Rhinolophus ferrumequinum: one gene and its partners. The protein of the gene in region 1 interacts with the protein of each later gene in a pairwise test. Links are inferred from orthologs where the notes say so. Each region holds a gene or a part of one and is shown on either strand. Other genes may lie near its edges.

The links.
Region 2: the proteins of MS4A12 (region 1) and MALL interact in binary tests that used the Homo sapiens proteins (3 or more experiments, as listed by UniProt). The two-hybrid records come from large-scale screens. The link is inferred for Rhinolophus ferrumequinum from reciprocal best matches to the Homo sapiens genes MS4A12 and MALL.
Region 3: the proteins of MS4A12 (region 1) and PLLP interact in binary tests that used the Homo sapiens proteins (3 or more experiments, as listed by UniProt). The two-hybrid records come from large-scale screens. The link is inferred for Rhinolophus ferrumequinum from reciprocal best matches to the Homo sapiens genes MS4A12 and PLLP.

The regions. Positions count from the first base shown.
Region 1 is NC_046294.1:10,120,428-10,127,678, forward strand, and holds the start of MS4A12 (membrane-spanning 4-domains subfamily A member 12), read right to left. Parts: upstream 3,079-7,251; 5' UTR 2,968-3,078; intron 390-2,967; 5' UTR 384-389; coding exon 117-383; intron 1-116. UniProt on the Homo sapiens protein: May be involved in signal transduction as a component of a multimeric receptor complex.
Region 2 is NW_022680356.1:1,497,535-1,504,510, reverse strand, and holds the start of MALL (MAL-like protein), read right to left. Parts: upstream 3,028-6,976; 5' UTR 2,908-3,027; coding exon 2,800-2,907; intron 1-2,799.
Region 3 is NC_046298.1:9,959,434-9,967,170, forward strand, and holds the start of PLLP (plasmolipin), read right to left. Parts: upstream 3,028-7,737; 5' UTR 2,669-3,027; exon of another isoform or gene 2,638-2,668; 5' UTR 2,576-2,637; coding exon 2,441-2,575; intron 502-2,440; exon of another isoform or gene 403-501; intron 1-402. UniProt on the Homo sapiens protein: Main component of the myelin sheath that plays an important role in myelin membrane biogenesis and myelination. Plays an essential function in apical endocytosis. Regulates epithelial development through the regulation of apical endocytosis.

The sequences.
Region 1 (7,251 bases):
ATGTTCAGAATTTTTTAGTGATTGGATATATGTCATGAGATCACAAACTTCTCCCCAACTATAACTGTACAACCTTGCAAATGCAAAATTAAAATTCTAGTAGCAAGTAGACTTACCCCTAGTATTTTCATTTCTTCTTTAAAGTTTGTGGTTGTTGTTCCTATAGCTGGAGTTATGATTTGTACATTTCCTTGCCCCTGTGGACTGTTAGCGAAGATTCCTGGAGAAGTGATGACGTGAGGCTGGCCACTCTGAGCTTGGTTTCCTAGGCTGATGAAACTCGGAAGTGGTTGAGGCCCAGAGGCCAGAGAGTTGCTTGCTAGGTAAGGATTATGTGTGGCTTCGTAGGGTCTAGGGTGGGTTGTTGGCTTGGCTGACATCATTATGTCCTAAGTATTATATAATATAACAAAATGATACATTTATCCAGAAAAGAAACATCTGATTACAAAGGATACTTTTTAAAAGTGGAAACAAATTTTAATCCACAGAAGGTTATTTTAAACAAGGAAAAATGAAGGATTGCATAGCTGTAATTCTTGGAGTGATTCCCTATAGCTCTCAAATAACATTTGAAATCAGGAGGTTTTATATCCTGTGCATCTGGTTTCTGTGGCCATTTAGTGCAGAAGATTTCCCAGTCTGCTACTTCACTAACTCTGGGGCCTGGAGCAACTTTCTTTTTTTCTTTTTTTCCCCTTCTTCCACCTCCTCCTCTTCTACCTCCCCCCAACTCCGGTTCAAGCCATTGTTTCACAGTCTATTTGTGTAGGACACAGCTCCCTGGCCCATGCTGGTATTATGAGCCTTGCGCTCCCGGTCTTATTTTACTATAATATAAAACCCGGTAATATAATATAATATAATATAATATAATATAATATAATATAATATAATAAATATAATACCGGGTCTTATGTTAATTTTTGCTCCAAAAGACTCATTAGAGCTGATTGTCTGACTAGGTCTTATTTTCTGGGAAACACGGTAGCTATCATTGTATTACTAGAGCCCAAAATCTTCCATTCTGGTTTAAGCAGTGGATGTGGCCATATAAAGTTTATAATAGAAATTGCACTTCAAAAAATCAGTGCCAAGATCAAGGAGAGAGGAGACAGGTGCTCAGGGTACAATAATTTTCTTATGTTTTTTTAAGAGCATTAAAACAAATTATTTCTGCATGTATATAATCTCATCACCTCCTTTCTTTGCTATTGATCATTGTAATTTTTTTTGTCTCATTGAGAAATTTGATTAAAAAAGAAACCTCAAGGCTTTTTATTTACTTATCAACATTTTTAATTTTCATATTTGCTATTTAATATCTGGACTAAGACCTATGAGTTCCATATAGAACCCATATTATTAATAGTTTTATAATGATTATGCTAATCCCAGATGCATTTTTACTGGGTCAGGTTCTGATTTCATAAAAAAGGACTAAATTGCTAAGCTAGTCTCAGTTCTTTTACCCTTAATGTGTAAGCAGCTTTACTGGTTACATCTAGTTGTCCCCCATTATCCCTGGTTTCACTTTCCATGGTTTCAGTTTTCTGTGGTCAGCCATGGTCTGAAAATATTAAATGGAAAATTCCAGAAATAAACAATTCTTAAGTTTTAAATCTCATGCCGTTCTGAATAGTGTGATGAAATCGCACACCGTCCCCCTGCATCCTTCCCAGGACGTGACTCGTCCTTTTGTCCAGCATATCCACACTCTATATGCTACCTTCCTCTTAGTCACTTAGCAATCAGCCATTTTGGTTATCAGATTGCATTCACATAACTTTTATTACAGCCTATTGTTACAATTCTATTTTATTATTACTTATTGTTGTTAATCTCTTATTGTGATTTATAAATTAAACTTGATCATAGGTATGTACGTAAATGAGAAAAAACAGTCCATGTAAGTTTCGGTACTACGGTTTCAGGCATCCACCAAGGAATTTCCCTGTGGATAAAGGGGGACTGCTGTAGTTTGGTACAAAGGAAGGAAAAGATGCTTGGGGGAACAACTAAGTGATTATCCAGTTGAAATGAGAATAATCCTGTAAATGATAGAAGAAAAGGGAAACTGATGAATAGACTCTTCATAGAGTCTACCTATTGGCTTAGAGCAATTTTTCTCTTGATTGTTGGTAAAATGTTTATTGTCAGTTGTCTTTTGTTCTAAATATTAGAGCAACTACAGTTATTTTTAAGCACAAGAAAGACATCAGAAAATATAGGGTCTGATGAAATCAAAAGTACAGGACTGCAGGACTATAGAATAAGAGGAAATCTCCCAATTTGCTTTGAGTAGGTAATTTCAAATAAAAATTGGAAAAATATTACTTTTTTTTCTAGTTTCTTTCTGCCTCACTTTTACATTAATTTCACTTTTAACATTAGAAGGCAAAGATGACTACTGTCTTTGAGAAGACGTATAGTAGTGAAACATAATCTTAAATCATTTCCACAGTATTTCTCAGTACATCCACAAATCAAAATACTGATCTAGTGAAAATGAGTGATCTTTCCCACTTATTTTTCTGTTTTTGCCATAAAAAGCACCTTAATTAAAATGTATTTCAAAACCAAGGACTAACAGTATTTCTACTGGGCTATGTCGTAGCCACATTATCATCAAATGCTCACAATGGGACATTGCTTCCTCCTTGATTAATATTCATGGAATGGCATTTGAACCTCCTATGTCACCTTTCTTAGCATTAGCTTTTGATATTTTTTCTTGAACTATCTTTTACCTGTTTTATAATAACTGACGTTCTCTTTCATGTTTCATCCTCTCATGGTTTTATTTTCCCTACTTGTCTACTTGTCTAACATAGAGCCAAGAGTTGGCTTCATCTCTGCAGCTTAGAGAATGGAGTGCTGCAAAGAACCCATGGAGACAGACCAACCCACTGTTTATGCCCATTAATTTGGATGAAAAGTTAGGTAAAGATGTTTCAAGGGACTTACTCTTTCCTTTGGCTCCTCTCTGCTTTCTCTCTTCCTCTTCTTCAAGTTCTGTGCTGCTCTGAGGTAGTTACCTGGACATTGTAAGTCCTTTTTACTTCCTTGCTTCAAATGAAACTGTGCCCTTTGTTTATTTAATTCCAAAGTCCATTTGCCATTGACTCTCTAATACCCCAAGTGGTTACGCAGGCCCATCTGTAAATTTTGGAATATACTGTGTTTTCCCACCTTCTTTTCCTTTGTACTAGAAGCCCTTCTGACATCCCTAAACACTGAAGTGCTCATATTCTCCAGCCCCTTTACTCTTTCTGATACTTGTTAGTGCAGTATCACTTTGCATTTTAATACCTTTTAAATTAGATAAACAAAATTGGAAAATGTAGGCAATAAAAAAAAGAAAGAAGTGAAAGGGAAAAAAGCATCCATAATCCCACCACACACACAGTCAATGATAATATTTTCATTTACATTTTTAAACTTTTGTATATAAATATGTATTTTACATAGAGACATATATGATTTTGTAAAATCATCAAATTAGGATCATATTGTTATATATTTTGCAACCTGCTTTTATAACTTATAAACATCTTTTCATGTCAATAGACATATTTATTGTATATCTTAATAATGGCATAATATTCCATTTTTTGGTTGTCTCCTATTACATTCTAATTATTTATTTGCAGTCCTGTCTCATAGATACAAAATGAGTGCTTTGAGGGCAGAGATCCTTAAGGCAGAGGCCAACATCTGCCCGCATCCCCAGCCCTGTGTAGAGAGTACACAGTGTCTGCAATGTTGTAAGACTCATTATTTGTATGTTGAATGAGTTAGTGGAGTGAATACAGATTCTTCTTCCATGTCTGTGTTTTTCCTTTTTTTCTTATGTATTATTGTAGACTTTCTCTAGTGGTTTTCTATTTTCATGTACTCATCTAAAATGGAAAAAAAAAGATACTGAAAATTAATTAATGCTATGAACTTAAGAAAGTTACAATTTCAGGCCATAACATCACTCAAAGGCTGAAGGTAATTAAAGGAACAAGAAATCATGGTGACCAACTGGCAAGGTATCACATGCTATCCAGACAGCACAAAGAGAAAGGTGAAAACGAATGGTGTTTTGAACGCTTACCGCGTTTCCCTGAAAATAAGGCCTAGCCGGACCATCAGCTCTAATGCGTCTTTTGGAGCAAAAATTAATACAAGACCCGGTCTTATTTTATTATATTATATAAGACCCGGTCTTATTTTATTATATTATATAAGACCCGGTCTTATATTATATAAGACCCGGTCTTATATTATTATATTATAATATATATATTATAATATAATAAAATAAGACCGGGTCTTGTATTAATTTTTGCTCCAAAAGACGCATTAGAGCTGATGGTCTGGCTAGGTCTTATTTTTGGGGAAACAGGGTAGAATGCCCTCCCTTCTTCTGGGGGCCTTCCAGATCCCCTCCATGCAGTAAATCTTACTTAATAAGACACCTGCACTGTTTTCTCTCCTTCCTAGTCTCATAACTGTGTGGTGTGTGCCATTGGTGATGTGATTCTTCTATGTATTATTTTGAGCTTTATTTCTTCAGCCACCCCCTAACTTCCAAGAAGGCAAGAGATACAGCATCACTTCTTTTTTAAAATTTTATTAAATTTATTGCGGTGACATTGGTTAATAAGATTATGTAAGTTTCAGTGTACAGTTTTATAATACATCATCTGTATATTGCATTGTGTGTTCACCACCCAGAGTCAAGTTTTCTTCCGTCACCATATATTTGACCCCCTTTATCCTCTTCTACCTCCTGCCACCCCCTTCGTCATTTCATAACCTCTTTTGTATCAGTAATTTAGGAACATGCTTGTAAAATTGAACTAACCATTAAATAAATGTGACTAATGTTACTAGTTAATTTAATTTTTGAATTTAATTTTTGAAATTAAATGCTTAACTTCAATTTTATAAGGAAATAGCAAACTTCTCTCTTAAATAAACAAGGAGGTCATAACTCAGAGTTCTGAGTTCTGAAACAAGAATTACCAGGATCTATAAGTGTTCTAAAAAAATGTGTTCCCTACCTTTAGTGATCTTATCAACTAGCTTTATGTCCAGCATTACGGCTCCTTGTTTATAAAACAGGCTGCATTCTGATGCTAGAGTTACAGAGAGCCAGATACAAGTTTCTGGAGGGGACGTGGTGAGAGATAGGTGACCCAGGAGGAAGGGCTCAGTACAGAAACCAAGACCCCGTCATGTAAATTGAGTCAGAATAAAGACAGGAGGAGGAGAGCCAGAGTGCCTCCTAAGTCTCTTAGAAAGTCTATGGAAATAAAACAAATTCTAAACCTCAATCACTGGTGATCAAAGGATGGTAGTATTTTCGCTATCAGGTTAGAATTTGTTTAGAAATAATATCATGTGCCATTTGTTGGACATTATTTAGCTTTATAGTAATCTCCTTTATTTAAGTCTTAAAACAATCCTGCAATCGATTTAATTGCCATCTTATACATGGAGTAACTGAGTCTACTCTGGCTCTGACTGAGTCTGTAGGTCAAGATGAGCCAGCTAGGCAGTGGAGTCAGACAGAGGCAGAGCGCACTCGGGAGTGAATACATGGGGCTTCTGCTGGATGGCTTTTTACAAGGCTTGGAAACTGTGTGGTGTCTGAGCTTGAGTAGCGGCCTCTGGTGGCAAGTGTGGTGCAGAGAAGCATGTGTGACATGATGGTAACAGATTTCACCAGCAGGCGTCCTTCCTGGTTAATCTTTGCCTTTAATTTGTGTGTGTGTGTGTGTGTGTGTGTGTGTGTGTGAATGTTTTGGACAGTTACATTTTCACTCTTTCTCTGAAATATCAGAAGTTACCTTGGAATCTTGGAGAGGCAAGAAAATGTGTCTTTCTGCTTGTCCCCTGACACTGCAACCCTGGGAAGTGACAAATGGTTGGGAATCTTATAGCAGTACTTGTACAGTATGTATCAGGGTCAAGTATCTTGAACCTCAAGAAAGTATTTGTCTACTGAAGACCTTGAATTCTGTTAGTTAAGGATTAATTGGTTTTGTGACTCAAGTTAGCACTAGAAAAGTACAAAAGAACAGAACACATTTTAAGATTCACTCAGTATTTACTGAGGGCCAGCTCTGTGCCAGCCACCACCCTAGGCTCTGATAAGTGAACACGATAGACAGTGCTTCTCACATCCCTCGCTTCGGTGTCCTGTAGTGCTCTTTTTCCTACTATTCTGCACGAAAGCTTCAACTCATCGGGCAAGCCAAGTTTCCTAAGATAAGATCCTGTCATCAGAGCCCTTCAAGTTCATGGATGGATAAAAGATCTGGCACTAATTTAGGGAGTAAGGGTAAAGGCTAGAGACATTGTTAGATATTTAAATTCTGTTCATGGCAGGGTGGGGGATGTTTCCAAAAGATTAATACCTTTAATTTCACCAATGGGAACCTATTCTAATACATGCTGATGCTATGTAAAAAGCCACTCATTTAAAAAAAGTTCTGACATTTATTCTAATTAGCAAAGGGTCTGATGCAGATCTGTACCACTAATTGCCTCTGGAGAATAGGTTTTATAATTAGAATGCCAGCTAACTCTCACCATTCCTAATTTAGGTGGTAGCTGCATTGGTTTCTAGCTTAATGCAACTAAAAAGTGACCAATATTACACTGTCTACATTGAATATGTATTTGAACTACAGATATTATAATGCTAGGCCTTACCCACAGATATTCACACTGAATGGGGTCCAGAATTCTACATTTTTAACAATCATACCTAGTTGAAGGTAGGCCTCCTGCTATATTTTCAGAAATCACTGGATTATTGTAGCGACCTGCACTACACAAGCCGTGGGAAGGCGAGGGAGGCAGCGCAGGGTTAAACTATAATAAAGAGACAAAGACTCAATACAGTTAAATCACAGAGGACTCACAGCCTCAAGAAACTGGAGTTCCGAATCGGGTCGACTGGCGATATTTATTGATTACAAACAAAGAACATCGCATGATTTAAGGCAGGGTCTGTGAAACTCTTACACCACCTGAGAAAAATAATTTCAAAACCCAATAATTTATCACAAAACAGCCAAAGCATAACGTCCCAAGATGACCAAGGTGTGGTATGCACCTCCCTGGGGGAGAGAGTCTCTCGTGGTGAAACAATGCCATGAGCTGAGCAGGAAAGAGCTTGGTCTTACCGCTCTAATGGTCCTCTCTCACAATTAGGTGAGGGGGAACAGCAAGAGTCAGCAGCAGCTTTTC
Region 2 (6,976 bases), on another chromosome or scaffold:
GGCTGCAGGCACCGCCAATGTCCACTCTGGGCCACCCTGCCACGGATGACATCTGAATCCAGCTTACGGACTTCATTGTCTCTGCCCCACTTTGCTGGCCTCTGCTCCCGGTTTTAGAATCCACTTTCTGGACTCACGTCCTTAGGATGACATCTGCTCGTCTGTGATACCTGGGGCCCCAAACCTAGGAATCTGCAGGGACTGCCAGGGCTGGAGCTCTGCAGTCAGCCCGCGTGGGCAGCAGTGGCAGCATACCCAGGTGACAGGGCATATAGGGCTTCTACTGGCCGACTCTACACTGTCCTCTCCAGCCCGGCATGTCCTCTGCTCCTGTGGGGTTAGAGTCGCCACTCGCCTCGATGATGATGTGATGTTCTCCCCTCCTCCTTCCCCGATGAGAGGAACACACGACTCTATATGCCTTGCTAGGAACGCTTACTGAAGAAAAAAGCCAGTGCAGAGCAGCGCATACAGAATAACCCAACTAAATACATCCATGTGTATGGCGGTCTCCCCTTACCTGCGGAGGGGCACGGTCCAAGACCCCAGTGGATGGCTGAAACCGCAGCCAGTACCAAACCCCACATATACTGTGTTTTTTCCTATACATATGTACCTATGATGAAGTTTAATTTATAAGTTAGGCATAGTAAGAAATTAACAACAATAACTAATAACAAAATAGAGCAATTATAACCATCTACTATGATAAAAGTTATGGGAATGTGGTCTCTCTCTCAGCACACTAGCATGAAATTCTTTTTCTTTCTTCACAGTTTCACGGATGGAAGATTTGTTCTAACCGTAGATCTCAGCAACCTCAGCATACAATTTTTCTTTCCTCATTAAATCGAGAACTTCCATCTTTTTCACCTCAAGGAAGCACTTTCTGGTTCTCCTTGGCATATCTGAAGAGCCAGCATCACTACCCTTGCGCTTTGGCCATTATTGAGGACGATAAGTGTCTCTTGAACACACACTGTGATACCATGACAGTCAATCTGATAACCAAGATGGCTGCTAAGTGACTAATGGGAGGGTGGTGTATAAGGGACACGCTGGACAAAGGGATGATTCATGTCCAGGGCGGGCCAGAGCGGGCCAGAGAGAGAGTTCATTATGCTGTTCAGAACGGTGCACAGTGTAAAACTTATTGTTTATTTCTGGAATTTTCCATTTAATATTTTCAGACCATGGTTGACCACGGGTAACTGAAACCACAGGAAGCAAAACTGTAGACTGCTGTCTGTACATATCTGTAAAGCGCCCATGCACTTTACTCCTCTGGGAACTCCATTTGCAGGAGCCAGCACTGTTGGGGAGGGTACACGAAATGGCCCCTCGAGCCCGGGTGTTTCCTGATCCCTGAAGCCGCAGCCCCCAGACCTTGCCTCTGGCTGGTCTCTCCTGGACTCCGAGCCTTTCCCTCTCCTGCCCCCCAGCCTGGAAGTCCAGCCTGTCCTTTGAGGTCCAAATCCACAGTGGCCTCTGTGACAGGCCTGGACCCCTCTCCTACTTGACAGGTCAGGTGGCCTCTCCTTGCTGGTACCACAGCCTCCCATGATCACCTGCTTGAGGACAGGCTGACTGTGGAGGGGAAGTGCTTGCCAGTCCCTCCAACAGTCAGGGACCTGGGGAGGTAGTGTCACCCGTGGCTTCCATGATGGACATAAAGCATATGATTGACTCAACACAGTCCTGGCAATTCACGTGGTGGTTCTGAGGTGAGGGACACACCCAGGTCCCGCACAGAGACCTTGCAAGAGCAACAAGATGTCATCAGCCTGGCAGGATGCCCACACTTGTGTTCCCTGGAGGGCAGCCCTGGCAGAAACCTGCCTCTTGGGTGGGGTTTCAGCTGGAGCCACCAAAGTGCTCAGTCCGCCCTGCCTGGCTCCCTTTCTGGTTGTCGTTAATGGGCGCCCTTTAACCAGTTTGCCAAAAGGTCCCTCAATTGAACCCAGCCTTCCAGGCAGATGAGGACAGTGAGAGGGCTGGCCAGGTCCAGCTGAAAGTTGGAAACACTTCCTATCTGTCTGTCCCTGCCTGAGGCAGCACTGCCACTTTCAGAGGTACTAGGAAATGTCGCCCACAAGCTAGATATTTCAGGTGTTGGAAAAACAAACTCCTTTGCCCTGATTTGTTCACCAGACTTGAGTGTCCCCATCAAAGCGGATGGTGACAGTAGCTCAGAGAGAGCTGAGCTCGGTGAGCACTGTCTGTAATGGGAACACGCCAGCACCTGGCAGGAACGGCACCAGAATTCAGAGGTGGGTGCCCCAGAGAGTAACCAACGCTGGGACAGGTTCTCCTGTGCAGCAAGGGCAGCTCGCTGGGCTGTTTTATGGGAGGTTGTCATAAGCTCCCTCCTTGGGGCACCCGCATAAGTCAAAGTTCAAAGTCAGCTGACGAGACAATTAAGAAGAACTGCAAGACTTCCTCTCGTCAGGAAAGACAGAACCCCCCCCCCCCCCAATTCGGAACTTTAGAAAAGCACAAACAAGAGGTCGGAGACAAGAAGCGATATAATTAAAGTCCGTGTCCAACATTATCTTGAGGATTCAGAATATTCTAGCAGCTGTCCCCCGCCCCCTATCACGGCCCACGGTGGGGAAAGGAGGAAACCCACCAGCGCTGCAGGAGCCCGGGGGAGCGTAGTAGGGACTGGGCTGCTTCCCGGGCGGCCCCATGGGGCGATGGGGACGCAGCAGCCCCGCAGGTCCCCCTTCCTCCCTCTCCCGGGGGACGGGAGCGCGGCAGTCCCCGTCTGCCCCCCGCTGTCCGCAGGGGCGCACTCACCAGCTCCGGCAGGAAGAAGGCGTAGGGGATGGTGAGAAACAGCGTGAGCCCCGTGGGCACGTCGGGCGGCGCGTGGGTGGTGGGGGGCGGTGGGTCCCGGGAGGCCATGCTCGCACCCTGCCTGGTGCCCGGCTCCGCAGCTCCCTCCCGCTGCCCGTCAAATATCACCTCCTGCCCGACACACCCATCGGACGTCGCCTGGGAGGGACAAAAACGTTCCAGCCGAGCAGGTCCTTCCACTCGCTCTAGCCAGAAATCCTCAGCAAAAGGAGGGCTGCGCCCCAGGCCGGTCCGGCCTCCCTGGCGGGGCCGGGCGGGAGCGCTGGGTAGGCAGGCTCTTCCTTCCTAGGAATTTTTGAATCCTAGAGCGTGTTATTCTAGGCCAGCAGCAGCCACTACCCCCCAACCTTGTGCCCAGAGTGTCGGCTAAGGCCGCTGGCCACGACAGACACGTTTATTTAGCACCTACTATGCGCCGGGCAATCTGCAGACCGCTCTGGTGTTCCTCACCGCCCTGCACGCGGCTAGTTCGCACCTTTCCCAAGGGCAGAGACCAAGAATCTGTGAGTTCAAGGCAGGGACCATGGACCTGCTGGGTCTCCTATGGCTCTCCGCGGCTCCTTCCTTGTCCACCCCTGGGGGCCACCCCCAGCCTCAAACCAGAAAGGGAGGAACAGCCCTCATTTCCAGCTCCTGTCCCCAGGGACTTGGGGACTTGGTGACTCCTTCTTTCTCTGCACCCTCCTGTGGTACTCTCTTCTTTACCCCACACAGCAGATGAGGAGGACGCCCTCTGTGGGAGAAATTTGCCGTAGCAGGCACCGGAGAAGGGCCTGCTGGCTGGGTGCTGCCCCAAGCCCCAGCCCTCCTCCCTCCCGGCGCTGGCCCCCCAGCCAGTGCAGCCAGGAGCTGGGCTTGGGGCCAGGAAGCTCTTTCCTGCCTCCAGGCCCGCCTGCTGGCCCAGCACAGGGGCTGTGACCCAGCAGCCAGGCAACTCCTTTCACTCTACAAACAGGTCCTGGAGATTTGAGCCCTTTTTCTCTCTACCTTAGAATGAATCGACCATCTGTAGAAAGGCCTGGCACCCACAGTCTGCTTGGGGGTTGGGGGATGGGTCCCTTCTCCCTACCCTCCTGGCCTCCTCCTCAGCGCTCCATCTGGAGGGGTGTGGGGAGTACTCGGGGAATTCGCTGTCCTCCACAAATGGCCAGTGTCTGCTCCTTAGCAAGAGTGCTGGTTCCAGGCCTGCCCTCCCGAACAGGTGGGTGAGCAGCCACCTGGGCCTTTGCCTAGCCTGGGGACAGCCAGGGGAGGGGGGTTTGGACAAACAAAGCCAAGAGCAAAGGCACTGCAAGGAGTGGCAAGCGCACCAAGCGCACCTCAAGCCAGTCTGCTGGCGGTCCCGGGAAGACGTGAGGCCGGGGCTCGCCTGCCCCCACCCATCTCCTTGGCAGGATGGGCCTAACGCAGGCATTGCCCCGGGAGTCTGGCCCTTGCCTCCTTCCTGAATGTCATAATAAGCCCTGTCCACCCTTACGGGCTGCAGGATCCATCTGACTTGACCACCGCCGACCAGGTGGCACAGCGGGAAGAGCTGAGGGGAAAGCAAGACGGAAAGCTTTGTCAGTCTCATCCCTGGTTTACAAAGCAGAGGTGAAAACGGGAAAGGAGCCCCTTCCTCCTCCTGACGCACTTAGTGTCAACACGGTTATGAAAAATCCAGTTATAAAAAAATCCAGCATATTTTAAATGTTTACATTTAACCAAGTGATTACGTTTAACCAAGTTTTATCATATGCGACAAAGTATAGTGCACTCTCCTCAGGCTATTTAAAAGAACACTACAGGATTCACAAGACAATGAGCGCAAGATGCCAGAATGGAGGAGGTTAGCGTGGCAAGACCATGTCCACCTTCCAGGCCAGGGCTGGGGTGTGACTGCTCTCGGACACAAGGTCAGAGTCCGGTGTGAGGTGGGTGGTGTAGAGGGGATGCCAGGCCCAGGAGAAAAGGCCAGGGCCTCTACAAAGGGCCCCTGATTTCCACATCATGGCCTGAGAATTAGTGAATACTGAGCACCATGATCATCATGTCCATTTTCTCGTTTGTTCGTTGGGGCAGGTTAAGTGAGATGTTATATGTGAAAATCTAGAGAATGCTTCTGGCATGTAGCAGGTACTTCACAAGTACTTGTTTTCCATTCCACCTGAAATCACTTCTCTTTTGGCTCTCTTTCTTTCCACAGCAAGACCAGCACCTCCTCTCTTAATTCTGATTTTAAAAAATTATTTCAAAATTTTTATTGATCTATAATACACTTACAGAAAAGTGCACAAAACATACAGACCATGAAACCACCACCCAGAGCAAGAAGTAGAACTTTGCAGACTCCTCCTCAAACACCTGCTTTCCTGATGTCTAACCCCAAAGGCTGGTTTTGCCTGTTTCTGAGTGGGCTCCTTTGTGTCTGGCTCCTTTTACTCAAAATGCTGCCTGTGACACCCCCCACGTCATTGTGTTGCTGTAGTCACTGCTGCACAGTACCCCAGTGCACAGACACACTGCATTATTTACACATTCGATTGTTTATTGACCCTTGAGTTCTTTTAATTTGACATATGAATTAATTAATAACAGCTATGAACTTTCTAGAACAAGTCTTTTGGTACATCTATGTGTGCATTTCTATTGGGAATATCTTAGGAGTGGAACTATGGGTGATGTGGTATGTGTTTCTAGCAGATAATATCAAGCTATTTTACAAAATGGTAAAACCATTTACAGTCCCAGCAACAATGCAGACCCACTGCTTGTAATTGATGTTTGCATGTATATTATCACACACCAGGTGTTTGCATGGTGTGTATTTTTCCATCCTTTTACTTTTAACTTACCTATGTAACTATATTTATAATGGTTTCATTTGTGGTTATGATATATTTGGGTCCTCCCCCCCATCCTCCTCAAATTTGCTGTCTTTAAATTGGTGTGTTTAGACCATTTACATTTAATGTAATTATTGATGTTTGGATTTAGGTTTATTTTTTGTTTGCTCTGTGTTTCATTTCTTTGTTTCCTCTTTCCTGCATTCTTTGGGATTTTTCAAATATTTTTAGTATTCCATTTTTAATTTACCTATTGAGTTTTTGACTATGCCTCTTAGTATTGTTTGTTTAGAAGTTGCTCTAGGAGTTATGATATACATAGTTAACTTTCCATTCTACTCAGAATTAATATTTTGTCACTTCAAAAAGAGTGTAGAAACCTTATGACCATATGGGTCCCTCTACCCTTCTGCTTTCCAGGTTGTCTTATGTGTTACATATACATAAATTGAAAACCCCACCAAGCAATGTTATGATTTTTGCTTTCAAACACCATATATATTTTCAAGAACTGAAGAGAAAAAAATAATCTATCATGTTTACCCAGATATTTACCATTTCTGTAGCTGTCCCTTCACTCCTAACATCCCAAGCTTCTCTCTGGTATCATTCCCTTCTGTTTGAAAGCTTCCGTAGGCACCTCTCCTAGAGCATGTCATTAACAATGAGTTCTACTTTTTCTTCATCTGAGAATGTCTTTTATTTTTATTGACATACAACATTATATTAGTTCCAGGTGCACAACCTAATAATTCCATATATATCTATAATGCGAAATGATCACAAATCTAGTTAACATCCATCACAGCACATAGTTACAGAATATTTTTTCTTGTGATGAGAACTTTTTTCTTGTGATGAGAACTTTTGAGATCTACTCCCGTAACAACTTTCAAATGTGCAACACAGTATTATCAACTATAATCACCATGCTGTGCATTAAAAAATACGGATTTACATGTGTAGGGTAGATGTTGAGGAAAATTTGCCGTCATTGGTTGATGTGAGCTTTCGTCTATTAGTTTTTACCTGTTCCTGCATGTGAGGTGATTTCTGTGCTGTGATCAGGGGTTGAGTAAATTCCCCCTTTTGGTCTCATTCTCCTGAACAGGGGAGATATCGGATGAGGTTGCTGTTTTTTTTTTTTTTCTCCTTCTTCCGCCTCCCCCCACCCACTCCAGTTTAAGCTGTTGTTTCTCAGCCTAGTTGTGTAGGACACAGCTCCCTGGCCCGTGCAGGTATTATGAGCCTTGCGCTACCCCCCGACTGAGGCAGTCGGTCACCGGTCTTCG
Region 3 (7,737 bases), on another chromosome or scaffold:
CTAACAGATGCTGGTGCCCATTGTGTGAACACCCCATCTCAGACCCAGTGGAACTGTCTGTTGCTAGAGAAACAGCTCAGGAAGCAGTTTCTCCCAGAAGCAGATTGGTGAAGGCACTAAAAGGTGCAGCTGGCCGTGGGCTACCATGTGCCAACATAAGCGGCCGGTGGCCAGCGTGAATGGCCAGCAGCCAGCGAGAGCTGTCGTGAGCGGCCTACAGACAACTGGTGTCCGACTGCCTCAGCCGGGGGAGCTCAAGGCTCATAATACCAGCATGGGCCAGGTATTGAGAAACATCGGCTTGAACCGGAGTGGGGAAGGAGGCATAAGAAAGGGGGGGGGTGAAGGTGCAGCTCTTCAGAAGTCTGATGGGGGACCCTCATCCTCCCTCTCGCCCCCCTCCCCCAAAAGCACTGCAGGGAAAGCAGAGGAAGGCCACCCCACCCACACCCAGTCCGAGAGTCTGGAGACCTAAGTGCCAAGCTCCACCACAGGATCCTGGTGAGTCCTACCTTCTATCTAGACCTCAGTGTCCACATCTGTGCAATGGGACCCAAATGCTCAGGGGTGGGTTGCTGAGAAAACAGGCACCCTCAAATCAGAGACACAAGCCTCCTCCACAGGAAGCTACCAAGGTCCTTGCAGGCACAGCAAGATGCTCCTTCTTCCAATTCCTCTAATTCCAATTCTCATTGTTGAAATGCAAAAGAAGCCGGATGCTCAGGTTCTGTTACCAGGAGCTGGCTAACCCTAGGGATCCACCCACCCCTCATCATCTCAGCCCAGTAGAGACCCCTCTGCTGGTCCAAAACCTCCTAAGGCTGCCAATGGAATACTGTCACCATCTCTTGCAGAGGGACACAAGGCCCTCGGCTTCTGGCCACCCCAGAAACAAGTGCTTCAAGTCCAGTTTCACCAACTTGCTGGCTAGTCCCTAAAACTTCTCTTCCACTTTTCCACCCCCAAACCTTGGCTCCCACAGCGCCCTGCCCTTTCAACACCCTTCCCTACGTTGGCCTCAGATTTCAATAAAGTCCTTGCTCACAGGCCACCTCTCCTCCATGAACCTTCAGGGCTCAGAATTGATCTCCCTCTCCTCTGCCCTTTCATGCCCCTGGGCCCAGGTTCCCTTCCTGCTGGCTTCACAAGCACCAGGAGCCCAGCACACAGCTCCAGACAGGGTCTTCCTACCTGCATATTTAAATTAGTTCTTGACCTCACCATCGGGGCCCCGCACCCCCCCACCCCCATCTCCAAAACAACTCTCGGTGAATTAAAAATGTAGATTTCTGGGCTGCACTTCCTGACATTCAAATTCCAATTCCACATTTTTTCCCGGGGTGGAGACATTCTACATTTTAAAGAAACCCCTCAAGAGAATGTGAGGCTGGGGGGGGGGGGGGAGGGGGCTCACAGAGAGGGATTGAGACATTCGTAAATGATACATATCACTGACGCCGGAGGCAGGCCCTCGCCTGGGGTGGGGAGAGGGCCGAGGAGGGAGGTTCGGTCTCAAGACGACCCAGCCTTCCAGCCTGAGCTTGGCAGCCTTGCTAGGACACAGCAATAGGGGGACGTTTGGAAAGGCCCAAAAGGGCAATGGATCCTGGCCTTCGGCTGGGGGAAAGCCTCTCATAGGGGCGGCCACCCAGCTTCCTGACTCGCACCAGAGGGCACTAGGGGAAAAAAGCTGACACCCCCCGGCCTGTAACAAGCGTGTGGACGGGTCTAAGAGGGGTGTTCCCATCGATCTACCTCACCTGGGGCCTACAGAGGGTCTGGAAGACATAGGAGTCTTACCTCTGGCTTCCCACAAGTCACTCCTCCCACCCCCCACCCCAGTGTTGGACACGGTATCTCAGCCCGCGAGGCCAGCCAAACCGGCTGGAACCCGGCGGGTCACCCAGTGGAAGCCAGAAGGGCCCAGCTCCTGCGCCGGAGCCCACAGAGCGGTGCCTAAGTGTACGTGTTGGAACGGATGTGCCCTCTCGATTAGACCAGGACTGTTCTGGGGTGCAGCCACACGGAGCCGCTGGGAGCTCCGCAGAGGGTTAGCCCGAGTGGAATTTGCCTCAGGCTGGGTCCGCTGAAGGGCTGGGCATTGGCCATGCAAAGACTGAGAGTCATTCGCAGTGATTGTGGCTCTTGGAGAGCTTTTGTGGGTGGCCTTTAGTGACCACCTGGAAGTGAGGGTGCGTTGGAACGGGCACTCTGAACAAGGGTGTATGGTGCGTGTGCTCGCAGACAGCAACGGGGACTCAAGGTGAGGTTCCAGGTTGATCACCTAGGGCATTAGTCCTAGAGGCACCCCGGGGTAGGCACGGCGCGTCGCGTGCGAGCCTGGGTTGGGGCGGGTACGGCGTGCGACAGAGGGCTTCCTTGGAGCCCCCCGACCCCCCAAGCCCGCCGGGATCCCCTACCCCGCCCCGCGCGCGCTCACCAGCTGCAGCAGCATGAGCGCACCGAGGCTGGAGCCCACGAAGCCCAGGTCCGGACGCAGCGCCGAGACCGAGGCGCCGGCGCCCTGCGCTGGGCTGCTGGTCCGCGTGCTCACTTTAGACGGGAACTCGGCCATCGCAGCTCCGCTCGCCTCCCGGGGTCGCACCGGCCGCCGTCGCCGCCCCTCCCGCGTCGGGCACCGGCTCTTACGCCGCTCCTCCTGGGGGGCTCCGGCTCCCGCCGCCGCTCGGCTCCGGGCGTTTAGCGCGGTGTCATGGGAAGGAGCCTGGAGGCGCCAGGTGCAGCAGAAATTCCGGCCCCGCCCTCGTCGCGGGACCCGCCCCTTTAACCCTTCGCTCACCGCCGCGGGTCCAGCCTCAAGACACTTGTAGTCGCGTCCACTTTACAGACGGGGAAACTGAGGCCACGGTCAGTGAGATGGCTCCGTCAGAACGAGTCTAGATAGCTGCGCGTTTCTGTCCTGAGGAAAGCCTTCTACTAGGAATGGACAGCGCTGCTCGGCGCCCTCCTGATAGCTTCTACCTGCTTTCTCCAGGTGTCTCTAGGGCGCTGGGTGCCCTACGGCGGCGAGCCCCTGCTGCGTCTCTTTGCGCTCTCCTTAAAGCAGAATGAGCATCCCTGTTTAGCTACTCCTAAGGAGTCCCGGGAAACCGAGCATCCAGGAGGGGAGGGCCTGGATAAACTGTGGGTGCACATGACCCAATTGATGTGGCTTGTACTTCTGAACATACTACGCAGTAACAGAAGATCGCTGAGCCTCCGTTTCCTTGTCTGTCATAAAGGGTATGAAACGACCTCGCCTCACAGAGGTTATGCAAAATAAATGAGGGGGGGGGTCAGTCAGAAGGTGGGAGATGATGTTGGAGTTAGTTTCCTTGCTCCACCTGCACCCTGAAATACACACACACACCCTCAGGCTATAAAGCCTTGCACAGATTATTCCTTTTATTTATTAACCAATGTTTGCTGAGTGTCTGGTCCTATCCGGGCCCTGGAGATACAGCAGGGAACAAGCCAAACAAGGCCTTCTTGGATTCTACTTTCTCGTGTGGTGACAAGTAGTAAACCGGGGAGAAAAAAAAAAACTAACTTCAGATAGTGACAAATGCTGTGACTATAATAAAACAAAGTCATGAGGCTGGATGAAGCTGGACAGTTTGAAGCACAGAAAGAAGATCCTGGTGGCTTGGACAAAGTGCGTGAGGGTGAGATGTGCTGCGTTGGTGAGGACAGGTCACAAAGGGCTATTTAGTTGATTGTATTAGTTTCCTGTGACTGCTGGAACAAATTACTGTGAACTCGATGGCTTAAAAGAACAAAAACTTATTCTGTTACAGTTCTAGAGGCGGGAAGCCTGAAATCAGTTTCACTGAGCCAAAATCAAGGTGTGAGCAGACCTCTCTCTGGAGGTTCTAGGAGAGAATCTGTTCCTGGCTCTTCCAGCTTCTGATGGTGGCTGCTGACATTCCCTGACTTCATTCACATCAATCACTGCACTCTCTGCCTCTGTGGTCACATTGCCTCCTCTTCTGCATGTATCAAATCTCTCTCTGCCTCTCTCTTGCAAAGACACTTGTGATTGGATTAAGGACACCCAGGTAATCCAGGATAATCTCTCCATATCACAAACATTAATTTAATCTGCAAGGCCCTTCTTGTTTATAAAGTAAAATTTACAGGTTCCTGGGATAGGGGCTGATGTTTTTTGGTGGTCATTCAGCCTACTGAATAATTGGGGGTCGGGGGGTAATATTTTATTCTAAGGCCTAGAGAGTTTCAAGCAGGAGAGTGGCAAGATCTGCTTTGGAAATATCACTGGTTGATGCTGATTTAACCCTTTCTCCACTCAACTCGATGTTCAACCCCTTACCCCAAACACACCTGAATCCATCCCCCAGAAGGTACTCAGGGAACAAGGAGTGCTTCTTGGTAGCTGCAAAATCATTACTCAGAGACCAGCCTCTCTGCCTACTCTCTGCCCAAGTGCAGAACAGAGCTCTTGGGTAAACCCTTAATTTTATTATGACACAGAAAACAATAAGGTGATTGTTTCTGCGACAGATTCTAAAACAGTAGAGTAGTTTTGTTTTGGTTTTGGTTTGGATTTTGTTTTTTGGTTCATCCCACTTTCATTCCTTTCAAATGGCAGCAAGCAAGACTCAATCACTGTATTGTTTTTTAGACATTTTCTTGGAAACCAACTTCACTCACCCCCAGTTAGAAAAAGTGGGAAGGGACCTGTCCCCAGGCAGGGACCAGCTGCCCACCCAGTCTCTACTGGCGCCATGAGAGCCCTAGGTCCTTGGGGTGGGATGGAGGGACAGAACCAGGATACGGAAACGAACGCCCGCTCATTCTCAGGGCTGCTCCCCTCCTCCTTGGGGTCTGAGCAGGCCAGCGCCACGAAGATCACCCGCAACACATGTCTTGCCTCAGTTCTCACTTCTGCAAAGGCTCCCTACTCTGGCCAAGCCCATACTGTGTGCTGGGCCTGCCCTCCGTTGGGGTGGGCGGGGCATACTCGAGAGGCAATGGGGATGCAAACACTAAGCAGATGTTTCGTGGGTACCAGGCACTGGGGACAGGGCTGTGGGCCATCCAACCAGACCCCGCCCTCAGGGAGTCTGACGGGGGAGACAGACAGGCTAAATACACGAAGCCGCATTCCAGGAGATGCATAATTACCAATTGTGTTCAGTTGCTACAGGAAAAGACCAGGGTGCCAGGGGAAAAGAATACTAATTGAGGGTTGGGAGTGTCATTTAGATAGCTGGGTCAGGGAAGTCTAAAGGTTTAAGTAGAGATCTAAAGGATGAATAAGAATCAGGCAGGAAAAGAGCATTCCAGGCAGAGAAAATCACCATAAGTGCAAAAGCCTGAGGCAGGAAAAATTTGGGGGTCTTTGAGGAAAGACAGAAGATTATGCGTTGAGGGAACTAGGAAGAGATGGGGTTCCAGACACAGCCAGGGACCAGATCACCTGGGGATTAATCCCTCGGCAATGAAAGGGATTTTATTATAAAGAACAGACCATTGGAGGGCAGTTACACCATTTGACTTACAGTTTTTAAAAATTCACAAAGAAGTTCCACTGGGGTTCATCCAATAGTTTCCAGAAGCCCACTTCAGGAGGTTGAGGATTGTAATCAGCAATCCTCAAGGCTGATTGAGGACTTTTCCCACGGGCCCTGTGATGGGTGCTGTGGGGATGGCTGGTTTCAGTTTCTTTATTTTTAATTGCACAATTAATTCATTAATTTATTTCATTGCACATCTCCAAACCTTCACCCTCACCTCTAGTGAGTCCCTGAGAAGCGTTTGGAGTATCTTAGCAGATCTTTTGTTTTTCACTACCATATGATACATAGAAACACAGAGACTTGATTTGTACGTCATTTTTTAAAAATTTTACCAAAAAATGGGATTATACTCTGTATATTGAAACTTGATCTTTTCACTTAACATTATGTCTTGGAAATTTCTCTGTGACAGCACATGAAGGCTGCCCTCATTCTTTTTACAAGTTGGGTAATATTTGATAGAGTATCTACTACGTAATTCTTTATCCTTCCTGCCACTGGTGGACACTTAAGTGGTTTCCAATAGCTCCTCGTTACAGGTACTAGTATATAAGAATTCTTATTTACACATCTTTGCACATACATGTAAGACTATGGATCCAGTTTTCAAGGTAAAACCACTAGATGGAAGGGTATTTGCGCTTTAAAAAAAAAAAAAAAGCCGAATTGCTCCAACAGACCCTGCTAGCTAACACTCCCACGACGAGCAGTGAGCTTAACTATTTGCCCACTCCCCTGAGTAGGGTTTCCAGGCTGGAATTCCCTCCGCCCGTTCTCAGGAATTTTTTTCGCTCTCCCATTCCCGAATCCCGAGATATAAACTGTTTTCTGTTCTCCATGATGAATCATTTCCACAAAGTGATGGCTGATACTACAACCACCTGAGCTCAAGGAGCCGATTTTCCCAATTTGCCGACCAACTTTTCTTGGGATTCCCTACCCCTGAGTATGTGTGATGAGCATTTTTTTTTTAAAATCTCATTGTTTCCATTTGCATTTTCTAATACTTAGCTAGTAGGGCTCCTTAAGCTTATTGGCCATTCATACTTCCTTTTTTTGTGAATTTAAAATTTGCATTATTCTGTAGTAAAGAATTTTAATTTTCCCAAAGAGAGGTCTGGCTTTTGCTCTCAGCTTCTGGAAGGCAATGTCTGAACCCATGGAATGTCATGCCTGAGAGAAATGTCTTTGTTTCGGGTGGGGCTAGTCACACCAGTGTGATTTAGGGTGGGATCTGGCCACACCAGATAGACTAACTTTGTGGTTTAGGGTGGGGACATATGGTGTCAGCTCATTCAGCTCCACCTGGAAGAGCTGGAAACTGAGATAAGCTACATGGACAGTCAACCACGATTATGTGATGGAGCCCCAATAACGCCCTAGACACCAAGGCAATGAGCTTACCTGGGTGGAAATACTCCATGTGTATTGTCACACATCAGTGCTGGTAAAGTAATGCATGGAGTTCGTGGTTCCCTGGGGAGAGGACAACAGAAGCTCCACCTTTGGAACTTAAAACTCACACTTTAAAACATTATACAAGTCACTTGTTTTTAGTATACTCACTGGAGTGCGCCATCACCACTGTCTAATTCCAGAACCTTTCCATCACCCGTATGTGCACTTCCCTTGGCTGATTTCAATCTATACCCTTTAGCTGTAATAAACTGTAACTACGAGCATTCAGTTTGCAGGGCATTTGGTGAGTCCTTCTAGTTACTGAATTTTTGAACCTGAAGATGGTTTGGGGAATGCCCTGAACTCTGCCGTTGTGTCAGAAGTGACAGTAGTCTTGTGGATTAGGTTGTAGCCCTGTCTGCTTTTTTTAAGTTTATGAGCTTCTTTTATATTTCGGGTATTCATCTCTTGTCACTTTTATATATTGCTATTGTTTTCTCCTATTTTATTTCTCCTACTTTGTGGCATTTTGATAAATGTGTACAGTCATGTCACCACCACCAAAATGAAAACATTGAACATTTTGACCACCCAAAAAAGTTCCTTTGTGACCTCCACCCTGGCCCCGGGCAATCACTGGTCTGTTTTCTGTCACTGTGGTTCCGCCTTTTCTAGAATGCCACATAAATGTGGCAGGCTGAATAATTCCTCCCCTGCCAAGAGCTTCCATCCTAATCCCCGGAAACTGTCAATGCTACCTTTTATGGCAAAAGGGACTTTGTAGATGTGATTGAGGATT